2 linked regions of the Drosophila melanogaster genome follow. The protein of the gene in region 2 interacts with the protein of the main gene of each other region in a pairwise test. Each region holds a gene or a part of one and is shown on either strand. Other genes may lie near its edges.

Evidence for each region.
Region 1: the proteins of Gmppa (region 2) and step interact in a two-hybrid assay, tested with the Drosophila melanogaster proteins (one large-scale study listed by BioGRID).

The regions. Positions count from the first base shown.
Region 1 is NT_033779.5:21,754,077-21,759,838, reverse strand, and holds the start of step (steppke), read left to right. Parts: upstream 1-2,372; 5' UTR 2,373-2,596; coding exon of another isoform or gene 2,597-2,675; intron 2,676-3,211; coding exon of another isoform or gene 3,212-3,285; intron 3,286-5,762. Other genes in the region: CG1416 (uncharacterized protein), read right to left, coding at 473-608, 761-1,397, 1,480-1,627.
Region 2 is NT_033778.4:15,676,472-15,681,517, forward strand, and holds Gmppa (GDP-mannose pyrophosphorylase A), read right to left. Parts: upstream 2,486-5,046; 5' UTR 2,357-2,485; coding exon 2,109-2,356; intron 2,044-2,108; coding exon 1,341-2,043; intron 1,283-1,340; coding exon 1,018-1,282; intron 964-1,017; coding exon 863-963; 3' UTR 747-862; downstream 1-746. Other genes in the region: Vha14-1 (vacuolar H[+] ATPase 14kD subunit 1), read right to left, coding at 3,137-3,511; CG30091 (uncharacterized protein), read left to right, coding at 4,100-4,374, 4,435-5,046. UniProt on the Drosophila melanogaster protein: Regulatory subunit of the GMPPA-GMPPB mannose-1-phosphate guanylyltransferase complex; reduces the catalytic activity of GMPPB when part of the complex. Mediates allosteric feedback inhibition of GMPPB catalytic activity upon binding GDP-alpha-D-mannose.

The DNA of each region.
Region 1 (5,762 bases), on a different chromosome or scaffold from region 2:
TTTCGCAGAACCCTTACTTCAGGAATTTATTTTTAGATTAGATTCGAGCTTTTACATCGTTTTTAACCAAATTTGCTGGTTTCCATCATATAATGTAATTAGGTATTAATAGGAATTTAACCTGAATGTAAATTTCAAAAATGTACTAAACCAAAATCATTACATTCATAAGTTTAAATCCGACGTATTGTAACGAATTTAATTTTTTTCTTAACCAATAAATAATAAATAGACAAATCACAAAGTTATTTTTTTTTCATATTACTATTTTCTTTGTGCACATAAAATTTTGTAAATATTTCGAATTTAGAGGCCCGTAGGAATATGGTCTTATACGCGTTATTTATTGACTGATAAGGAGTACTACATTCTTTGAAAATTATATCGTATATTGTTAATCAGGATCACTAAGCGGGTCAATTTAAAAAAATAAATAATAATATATCTAGTTTTCGTTGTCCTAGTAACTTACAGTTTCTTCCAGCTCTATGACAACGTTTGAGTAGTGACCAGATGTCCAGTTTTTCAGACGCCAGCTCTGCTGTATTTTTTTTTCAGGGACGAGCTCTTCGAATTTTCCGAGCACATTGCCTCCGTAAAGAATAAATCTACAATAAAAGACAAAAGATTACTTACCATAAAGAAGTGAAGACAAGGGCGAGGGGCGAAATTTATGGTTATTCATAACAAGATTACTAAATGACGACACAAACGGTCCTGATGTGATGGTAAAATAAAACGACCAGGGACAAAAACTTACTCTCCACCGCGCACGGCATCTACTTTGGCAGGTGCCCTCGTAAAGGCAGTGACCATTTCTGGCTTTGTGAGAGCGTTGTAAAGGTCATTGGCGCTGCAGTGAAATTCTTCGGTCATCGAGAGAGTGCGAACGTCCAGTTTACAGCCGATGCCAGAGTTCTTCAGCCTAGGAGCCGCCACCGAGGAGTTTAAAGCGATATTTTGGGCTGCATTACGGGTATTGTTGGCATCCTTAAAATTCGCCACAGTATTTCCCGCTCCGGCCTCGTCGCCCTTCTTTGGTAGGATAAGGTTCTTGGAGTACTCCTCCTTCAACTCTCGGATGTAGGAAGCCAGTTGCTGCCGCACGCGGTCTCGTCCCACGTTGTACATGAACTGTTTCAGGGTCTCCGACTCGTCGTTGGACTCGTCGATTGTCACCGTGATCTCTACGTCGGCTAGTTCGTTCTCCTCGGAGAGATTGGGAATGGTTAACTTGCCCTTGTGGATCAGCTTGCTGTTCTTTAGGAGCTTTCCAGACCACTTGAGCACCAGCTCCCACTCGTAGAAAAATATGAGCTTGCCCTTGCGATTGTTCACGGTGGCCTCCCCGGAGCATTTGTCCACGGAGTCCACGGCACACTCAATGTCGCTTTGCCCTGCGTTTTGAGAAGTTTACTTTTAGGTTAGGATATACCTAAAATGTATGTTCTACACTACTACAAATTCTTATATACTCGCCTATTTTGAAATCCTGAAAAAGCTGATGCAGGCGGTCCTTGGACCATGGCGTGGCGTTCTTTTCCGTCCAGTGCCAGTTGTTCACGTTGGTGGCGTCGGGCCGCTCCTCCACAATCCAGCGCGGATCTCCTTCTCCCCACTTGGCCATCGCTTTCTTACTGTAGAATTGTATGAAACTGTCTTCAATTTTATGAAAAGATGGAAGATGTTGGTTTACTTTTGATCCGGCAGTCTTAGCTTAAACTAATTCGGACAATTACTATGGCCAGCGAGTGGAATTTTCTAGAATTCTGCGGTTCAAAATAGGGATGTAAAAATTATCGATGCCAGTGCACACATATGTTGGCAGCGTTGCCACCAAGTCCGAGGTGTTTGTGCCGTTAAAAAAACGAAATGATGTGTAAATTTCCTGACGATATTTTAAATGGAGTTATGACGAAAGACGTATTCGTTCAGTGAATTTTTTAACAGATTTAAAATGGACAGTAAGTATTGGTGGTATTGTATTTTTTTATAACAAGGTTGTTTTAATGTTATATTTTTATGTACGTCCAAAACTTTAAGTTTATGTTTTTAACTTGTAACAAACAATTTTCGAAATGGTAATAGCCGATTCCCGCAAATCACACCATAATGGATGTAACAAAGTTGTTTTACAGCTTTTCAAGCTATTTGTCTTGAAATAGATAAGGTCTGCTCTAATCTCTGAAAAAGTGTACCCCTAAAAATATTTAATGTATTGTTGCAAGTAAATAATTAGCCCTAATTTTTTTAGTTCTACTGATTAAAAAGTTCTTACGTTTGGTTACAAGATGCAGTGGCATCAGGATATTTTAAAAGTGGCCACACAGAGCTCGCGTAACACCCAGCTTAAGTCAGCATGCACTTGTTATTTTTCAGTTGTTTACTCAACCGATAGCTGAATTCAGCACATCCCTAGTGGAGAGCTGAAAGAAAATGGCGATAGAATTTTTTTGGTGTTGATTTGTTTATTATCCGTTCGTCTTTGATTGTTCAATGAAAAGCCTTAAAAATTAGCCAACTGCTGGTGAAAAATGTACAACTAGAGTGTGTGTCGTGTGCGCGAGAGTGTGTGTAGTAGCTCAGTAGCTCCGCGATGATTAGCGCAATGGACAATTTCGACAACAGATCGTACGGTGCCATATCAAAGGGGCGCAGTGAATTCTCAATGCCAGGTAAACAGCAGATACTTTTGCTGGCCCGAAGGATATAGCCTAGCATGAACAGAATACGAATCTTTGTATTGATAAAATTTTATTAAGATCACAAATTGGGATACCCACAACTACAAAATAAGAGAAGCAACAAGCAACATTTGTATGTATAGACTTGTGTGCTAGGTGAAATGTTAGTGCACATATGTATGTATATTATGTACATATGTACATTGCGTTCTCGTTTTTGGCCTTCGTCAGAATTAAGTCCGAAGAGCTTTGGTAACGCTAATAAGCCAATTTGCACAATTAGCAATCCATTGTGGTTTCGACAAGTGAAAATTGTTTATCGGCCTAAGCTAGTGACGTAGCCTACAAGATGCTTTCATCGCATCGCAAACAGCTCGTGTATGCACGTGTGTATGTGTGTTGGGCGCGTGTGCCTGGAATGCTGCTCTGGTGTTTTTTATTTTTACTGTTGGTGTTGCGATACAATTTACAAAATGCCCAGAAACAAGTATATGAATTTATTATTGATTCGCATCTCGTTCTTGCAGAACTTACACCGGAGCAGCAAAAACTGCTGATTGAGCTGCGACGCAAGAAGCAGGAACTTTTACTCGAAATACAGGTAATTGACCATCAATATATACATACATTTTTAATTTTGGAAACAACGATTTAAGAACATATTCGTATACACTTGTAGTATACAGAAAAACAATTTCGTGATGTCTTTTTGTCTGGAGTTTTTGCCAGCTTCTTTTTAGGTGATTTGACAGAGAGGGAGCAAAGACACTAGACTTATTCCAGAGCCTTTGTAGGGAGGGCTTGACGGGCTCTGAATTTTTTTATATGAACGATTAATCTTAAAATATATAAATTTTAATAAACCGATAATAAAAATGATGGTAAAATTATTGTTGGTGCTAAGAATTAATTTAGCAAATAATCGAAAGTAAATATCCCAAAAAAAAATACAATAAAAACATTAAGAAGAGAGATAGTGGGCAAGAGAGTCGATTTTTATGTTGTTGAGTAGCATATGTGCATTTATATGTATTTATAAAATTTTATGAATACCTATAAGCCAGACCAATTTGGTTTTTTTTTCTACTTAGGTTGTTTTTTAACTCCTTAATGCGGGAAGATTTGTGATCTGGCGGCTAGTGGCAAGTTTAGCTATTTATGTTCGTGTTGCGATCGTGACTAGTTTTCACTTTGTTAAGACTTCTTTATGTTCAACAACTTTTTTAAAAGAAATATATATTTTAGTGCTCATATCATATCATACCTGAATACAATGACCATGGTTTTAACCCGCACGATCTACGATTGAAATAAAGCATTTGAAAATGAGTTGTTAAACGCCATATAGGCTTTCTCTGGTGTCTTTCTATAAAAAAAATCCAAAAATACTTGCTAGGATTTTAATATTTTTTGTGGTTAAAATTACCACTCACCAGCCCCATTACAAGTGATAATTTTGGTAGTGTATTTAAAGTCTTGTCAAGACATAATGTTTCAATTACCAAATCTGAATTTGAACTGAATTATTCACTCGAATTCCGAATATACAAATAAAATAAAAAGAAAATGTTTGTTCAGTCGAAACAAACTGTCCCTCCGGAATTCCCTCAGAATATTCAAGTCATCGCTCCTGTGACGATCGGTTCACCAGAATAGTAAAACTGCTGTCTTCCAACAGCGAACTGGAGATTTTTTCGCGTGCTGTAATTGTGGTTCTTCGAGTCGTGATCTAAAGTGAACGAATTTTTATTTATTGGATTTTTAACAATTGCCGTTTTGTCATTGTGCTGATATGTGCAAATGCTTGTATCGTTAGATTGTGAGAAAACGCAAAGGTGAGTGTGCTAAAAAGTCAATTATAAATTTGTGTGTGGTACGATACTACCAATTTAATTATCAATTGTTAAAATAAACGTTTGCTGAAATTAATAAAAATATTAATATTTTGCTAGTACAAGTCCTAGTTAAAGGGCTTTTATTTATTGATAACTTTAATTTAAAAAATGTATCTACCTTAATAATGTTGAACTACTTTTAGTGTAAGGATCATGTGTTGTTATCGGTCAAAATTTTCGTATGCACATCTGCACCGAAATGGAAATCTCATATTTTTTCTGATTCCCCCGAATTTCCGTTGCTTTTTTTTCCTAACTATCGGGCTTTATTATGTCTACCTGGATATGCAATTGACACATCGTCCCCTACCTTTCACTCTTCTGTTCCCCGACTACCTGGAGTTATAATTTTTAGCTCAGCGCAAAATTACCTATTTTTTTATAGAATTTATAGAATGGATATTTAAAACCAGACAGAAGAATAATAAAAGTATTTAAACCCCTTAATCGTAGAGTAAAAGGACATACTAAAGCAAGTATATTGTACTACATATATGTAAAGTATATACAACTGTGCATGTTTCAATGATATGTATATAGACATATATTTTAAAGAATTTATGCCATTAAAACTGGTTTTATCCCATTTAAAATAATTGGTATATTTGTAATCAAAGGCTTTAAACTAATGGATTGCAATGATATGTTTGGTGTTTACACTTTGAATGCGTCGTTTGTGTGCACAGAAATTTCGAAAGAAAAATACGCAAATGTCTTCTTCACTGCGTTGCGGTCTTCTGACTGAAATCAACAAAAATCACAATTCTGTATATTTTTTTTATGTTTATTATTGTATTTACTATTATTTTTGTATACCATGGGAAGGTGTTGGGAAATTGTGAGGTAATCAAATATTTTCTAATTACTTTGATTTGTGTGACTCATAGCTGATAGTGCATTAAAGTAATATGGCTTTATGTAGGTAAATTATTTCCGATCCCAAAACAATTTTTTATTTTAATGCGAGTGGACTTCCCTCCTTCCCCTAAGTTCGATCCTGATAAGACTAGGTGTTTTCAGGCCAATGGCGGTCGTGTGCTGATAAGTTGCTGTTTTTGGGCAAATATTCAAGCCGGGGGAAAGCACATACATACATACATACATGCAGAAGTGCTGGGAGAAAAATTTACAACTTTGATGGGTAGCGATAGAAATTGGCAAGGATTTTTTTTAAGGTGTGTTC
Region 2 (5,046 bases):
TAGAATAGACTGCTTACCTGGTTACCTTACCTTTTGGCCAGAATCATCATTTCCAGCTAGTGGCCATTATTTGGTAAGTATACTAAGTAGTAAATTTCACTGTTTTAGAAGCGGTGGATATGCACAGATCAAAAGCAACAGGCGACGGCGACTAACTGGCTGACAACCGAGCAACGTAAACGCGTTTTGGTCAAAACGAATAAGAGCGGGAGCGAGAGAGAGAGTGGGAAAATCATCGGGAGCGCACAGGTATTGGTGTGCGTGGGCCGCTTTTTTGAGGAGCAACCGTGTCACGACCCCCAACTACTTGCACTTATCGATATCGGAATGTAAACTCCCCTTTTAAAGGTGCAAGATAAATAATTTACTCGAACAATAGTTAGCTTCCTTTAAAAAAAATAAACAATATGAATGCTGGTATTCTTAATTGCCTCGATTTTTTATAACAAATATACCAATAACTACTACATGTTTTTGATCTGAAAGATACGCTAGTGGGAGTGCGAGCGAGAATATACTGTACGAGTAACGGATATACCTAATTCAATTCCTTATAAAAAGCACACAAATGCAGAAAACTGCATCCCTCGACCACATTTATAAGAAAGTAATACCGCCGTAAAAAGTTTAATACGTAAAGGTATTCGAAAAAAAATTGTTTCCCAACTATCACATATCCATCTTTCAATCATAAAAGCACGAGTGCCGAGTAGTTTACCTTACCGGGTCAAAGACGTAGTAAAATTGGCTGCAGAGGATAAGACACATTTAATAGGGAGTTTTTCAGAATATAGCACAATATAAACATATAAAATGACATACTGATAGGGACACAGAGCGAAGATAAAAAATAAAATCATTCTCACAAGATGATCTCGTTTTTGAAGCTGCGACTGAGCTCCTTGTGCGGCAGTACAATGCTGTTCAGCAGGATTTTCTCGGCGGGCACCTGCACGAAACAGCCTGAAATTGAAAATTAGGATTCAAGAATGTCATCACTCAATTCAAAACACCTACCCAGTATGGTTATCGAGGGGTTTAGCTTGCCCTCGTTGTTGAAAAGCGGTGGGTTCTCCATTTTGGCAAAGGGTTTGTTGGGATCGGGATCACTAGGTGTGCCCTCGACTCGAGCCCAAGCTCCAATGGTGGAGCCCCTGCCCACAATAGAGTGCAGCACGAGCGTATGGTCCAGGATCTGTGCCTGCTCCAAAACAATCGATTCGCGAATGCGCACACCTGGTCCAATTGTCACTCCAGGTCCAATCGCCACATTGGGTCCCAGCTGGAACAGGACCTTTTTGTTAGAAGCACTCTAAAAAATAAGTTTGATCTAGACCAACCACTGCGCTGTGATGGACAGTGGCACTGGGATGCACATAGACGTCCGGATGCACTGTGCAGATCAAGCTGCCGTCCCCTTCTCCGCGCTTGATCCCCACATTGGCCAATCTCTCGGGATGCGTTTTCTTGTACAGGCCAAGATAATGACGATTTGCGTAGATTGCCGACCCAGCAGTCTTCAGTTGGGACCACCAGTTAGGCACTGGCATGGCAAAGAGTTTATCGGTTCCAGCCAGGGGCGTAAGCACCTCCTGTTCCCACTTGATGTGCCCCTGCTCTCGTCCATTTCCATTTCCGTTTCCATTGCAAAATGCCTGGCAGCTGTACTCCTGACCTCTCGAATGAAAAATCTGTGCCAACACCGTGAATATATCCATGGAACAGACATACACCCCACAGTTGATAAATGTGGACACATAGGAGCTAGGCTTTTCTACATAATGCGAAACGGCTCCGCTACTCCGATCGAAAACCAGACAGCCGTAGTGCAAGGATTGCTGACGTGTCGCCTCCGTGGACATGATAGTAACCAGAGCACTCGCCGGGCGCTTCTCGTGAAAGTCGCACAGTTCTTGCAGCGGAAAATCAGCGCAAACATCTCCGTTCAATACGAAGAAGGCTCGGGGGTTACCAGCTCTAATCTGATCCCGGAAATGGTACATTCCGCCTGCAGTGCCCAAGGCAGTGAACTCCTGAAGGTACCTATGATAAAGGGTAGGTCAACTTGGAACTTAAGATTCAAGTTCTTCCAAAGCCCCTCTTCCCACCTGATGTTGATGTTGCTGCTGCTGTACAGGGCCTGCATGTCGCCCACGAATCCCTCCATTTGGGTCTGCGGATAATAGCCGATGATCAGGATCTCGCGTATATCGGGCAGCTGGGCGCAGGCCTCAATATGATGGGCGATTAGAGGACGACCGGCCAATGGAAAGAGCGGCTTGGGCGTGTCAAGCGAAAGGGGGCGAAAGCGGGTGCCCTTCTGGGGACCGCCGATCAGGATAACGGCCTTTAGCATGGTGTGCGTGCAGCGGTAAGATGACTAATGACGATCGATCAACTTGTGGCCAGGTTCTCAGAAAGATATATTTTATGTTTACGTTGCCAGCTAGAAAATACTCCGCTCTACAACAGCTGATTGCGCTAACAGCCCTTGGAATAGCTGATAACAGACTTAACAGCACGCTGAACTTGTTATCTGGTAAATTTATACAAGATATTCCTTTAGCCTTAAAATCAGCAACACCAAACTCATTGAAAATGTATGGAACATTTAACACAGCTAATCTAATTTCAAAATTTAATAGCTAATTTATTTTAATGAAAATTCTAGATACCACATTTATGCGGGGCATACTGTTAATCAAGTTTCTTATCTACTGGTAAAAAAAATTATTCTGGCAACAAATTGATAAATAAATAACCAATGCCATTGCCAAAAATTAGATTTCTTACAAATCTGCAAATGAGAGTTGTAAGGATGAACACCAATTTAGTGGCTTAATATATTTTTGACCTATCGAATGCGCACTGTATCTTTGCTGGAAGACTGTTACTTGACATAGCTGGAAAGACCTTTCAATGGAAAACCTCCAGATATCAGACTTCCAGTATTTGATTTGGAACAATTTGATTTTAATCTATTTATACAACGAAAACCATTTAATAAATGTCTTTAAATACACGATAAGAACAAAGGCGAAGCACTGAATCTATGGATAGTTGTTTACAGGGTGTAAAGCAATTCTCTGGCGGTTGCAGCAATACGAAACAGTGTCCTCGAGCAGAATTCGAGGAATTAGCGCACCAGATCCTCCGGATTGAACATGCCGCGGGCGCGACGCAGAATGGAGTCCTTGCTGGCGTCGTACGGATGGTCCTTGGAGGGAATCTCCAAAACAGCGGGCACGGGCGACGTATGGGCATCGATCACATGACGAATAAGCTCGGCGCAGTTCTGGTTGATTAGAATGATGTCGATATCGTCCCGCTTAAGGAAACGCTTGAAACAGTCCTCCAGTTCGCTGACGGCCGTATTTTTGTCGACCACCATAAAGTTGGGATGGCGATTCTTGTTGATCTCGCCCACTCCGCCGAGCAGAAAGCCCACACAGGTGTCCTCGTCGCCGATAACGCTGATCAGTTTTCCCTTGATTGCCGAGTGCAGAGCCATTTCGATTGGTTTTTTCTAATTTTTTCTTACGAGCGATGTGGACAGCGAAATTAAAACCTAACTCTGGAAAATGTACGGGTCAGCTGGTCTCTATCACATGACACAGTTGCGGTCTACAGCACTGGAAGGCGCCTAACAGCACCGCATTGGTATTCTTAGTAGGTATTTTAGTACCGTAGCGTAACGGTATCTTCTGATGGTGTGACCGTAAGGCACAGTGTTATTTGTGATTTTTAAATAAATGAAAATACTGTTAAGAGCTTTAATGTTTTTTTTATTGCTAATCGAGCGTATTAGTTTTAAATGTGTTTTAAATTCCAGGAATTAAGAAGTAGCTTGCCATAAATTATATTCTGGTTTTAAGAAAAATATCCATTTTTCTGAAAATTTGGATCTAAAATTCTTAATTTTTCAGTTGTTCAAAAAGGTCAAGTTATTTAGCGCTAAAAACATTTTGGTAAAATCCCGCTCTTTCTGATAAGAGTAAAAATATTAATAGAAACAGCATTCTCATAGCTGATAAGCTTTTCTTCAAATTCACGACGCACAGCAGCTCACTTTCAGTGTGTTTGAAGGTTTTCACTGGAAATGTGCAGAGCTTGGGTTGTTTTATTCGCTTGGATGCTGACGGCGGGACGAGGATCGGCCCGCCTTTTGGACGAGGATTGTGGAGTTCCGATGCAATTAATACCGAAGATTGTAGGTGGAGTGGATGCGGGGGAACTGAAGAATCCGTGGATGGCCCTCATAAAAACCAATGACGAATTTATCTGCGGAGGATCGGTAATTACTAACAAATTCGTCTTGACGGCCGCTCATTGTATGTGCACCGATGAGGAATGCATTGTAAAGTACACTCAGCTGTAAGCACCTTAAATTAATAAATAATATAATATAATTGAATAATTATATGTGATTTGCAGCACAGTTACCTTGGGTGTGTACCATCTACTGGCGACGGGTGAACACAATCATCCCCACGAGATATACAACGTGGAGAGGGTCTACATCCACGATTCCTTCGCGATACAAAACTATCGCAATGACATAGCGCTTCTTAGGTTGCAAAAAAGTATCGTTTACAAGCCACAAATCAAACCGTTATGTATTTTACTGAACGACCAACTCAAGCCGCAAACGGATCTCATCCAGGAGTTCACAGCAATCGGCTGGGGCGTAACGGGCAATGGGAAGATGAGTAACAATCTTCAAATGGTCAAGATCTACAGAATAGATAGGAAAATGTGCGAGGCAGCATTTTGGTACACTTTTGATTACCCAATGTTCTGTGCCGGCACCGCGGTAGGCAGAGATACCTGCAAAAGGGACTCCGGTGGACCCTTGTACATACATATGTTGTTCGATGGCATCAAGCGAGCAACGCAGTTGGGAATCGTCAGCACTGGCACCGAAGATTGCAGAGGTTTCGGTATGTACACCGATGTAATGGGCCATATCGACTTTATCGAGCGCATTGTTCTGGATGCGGACATTGAGGTGGTGCTACCCTATATAGACCTACTCGATGCTGGGTG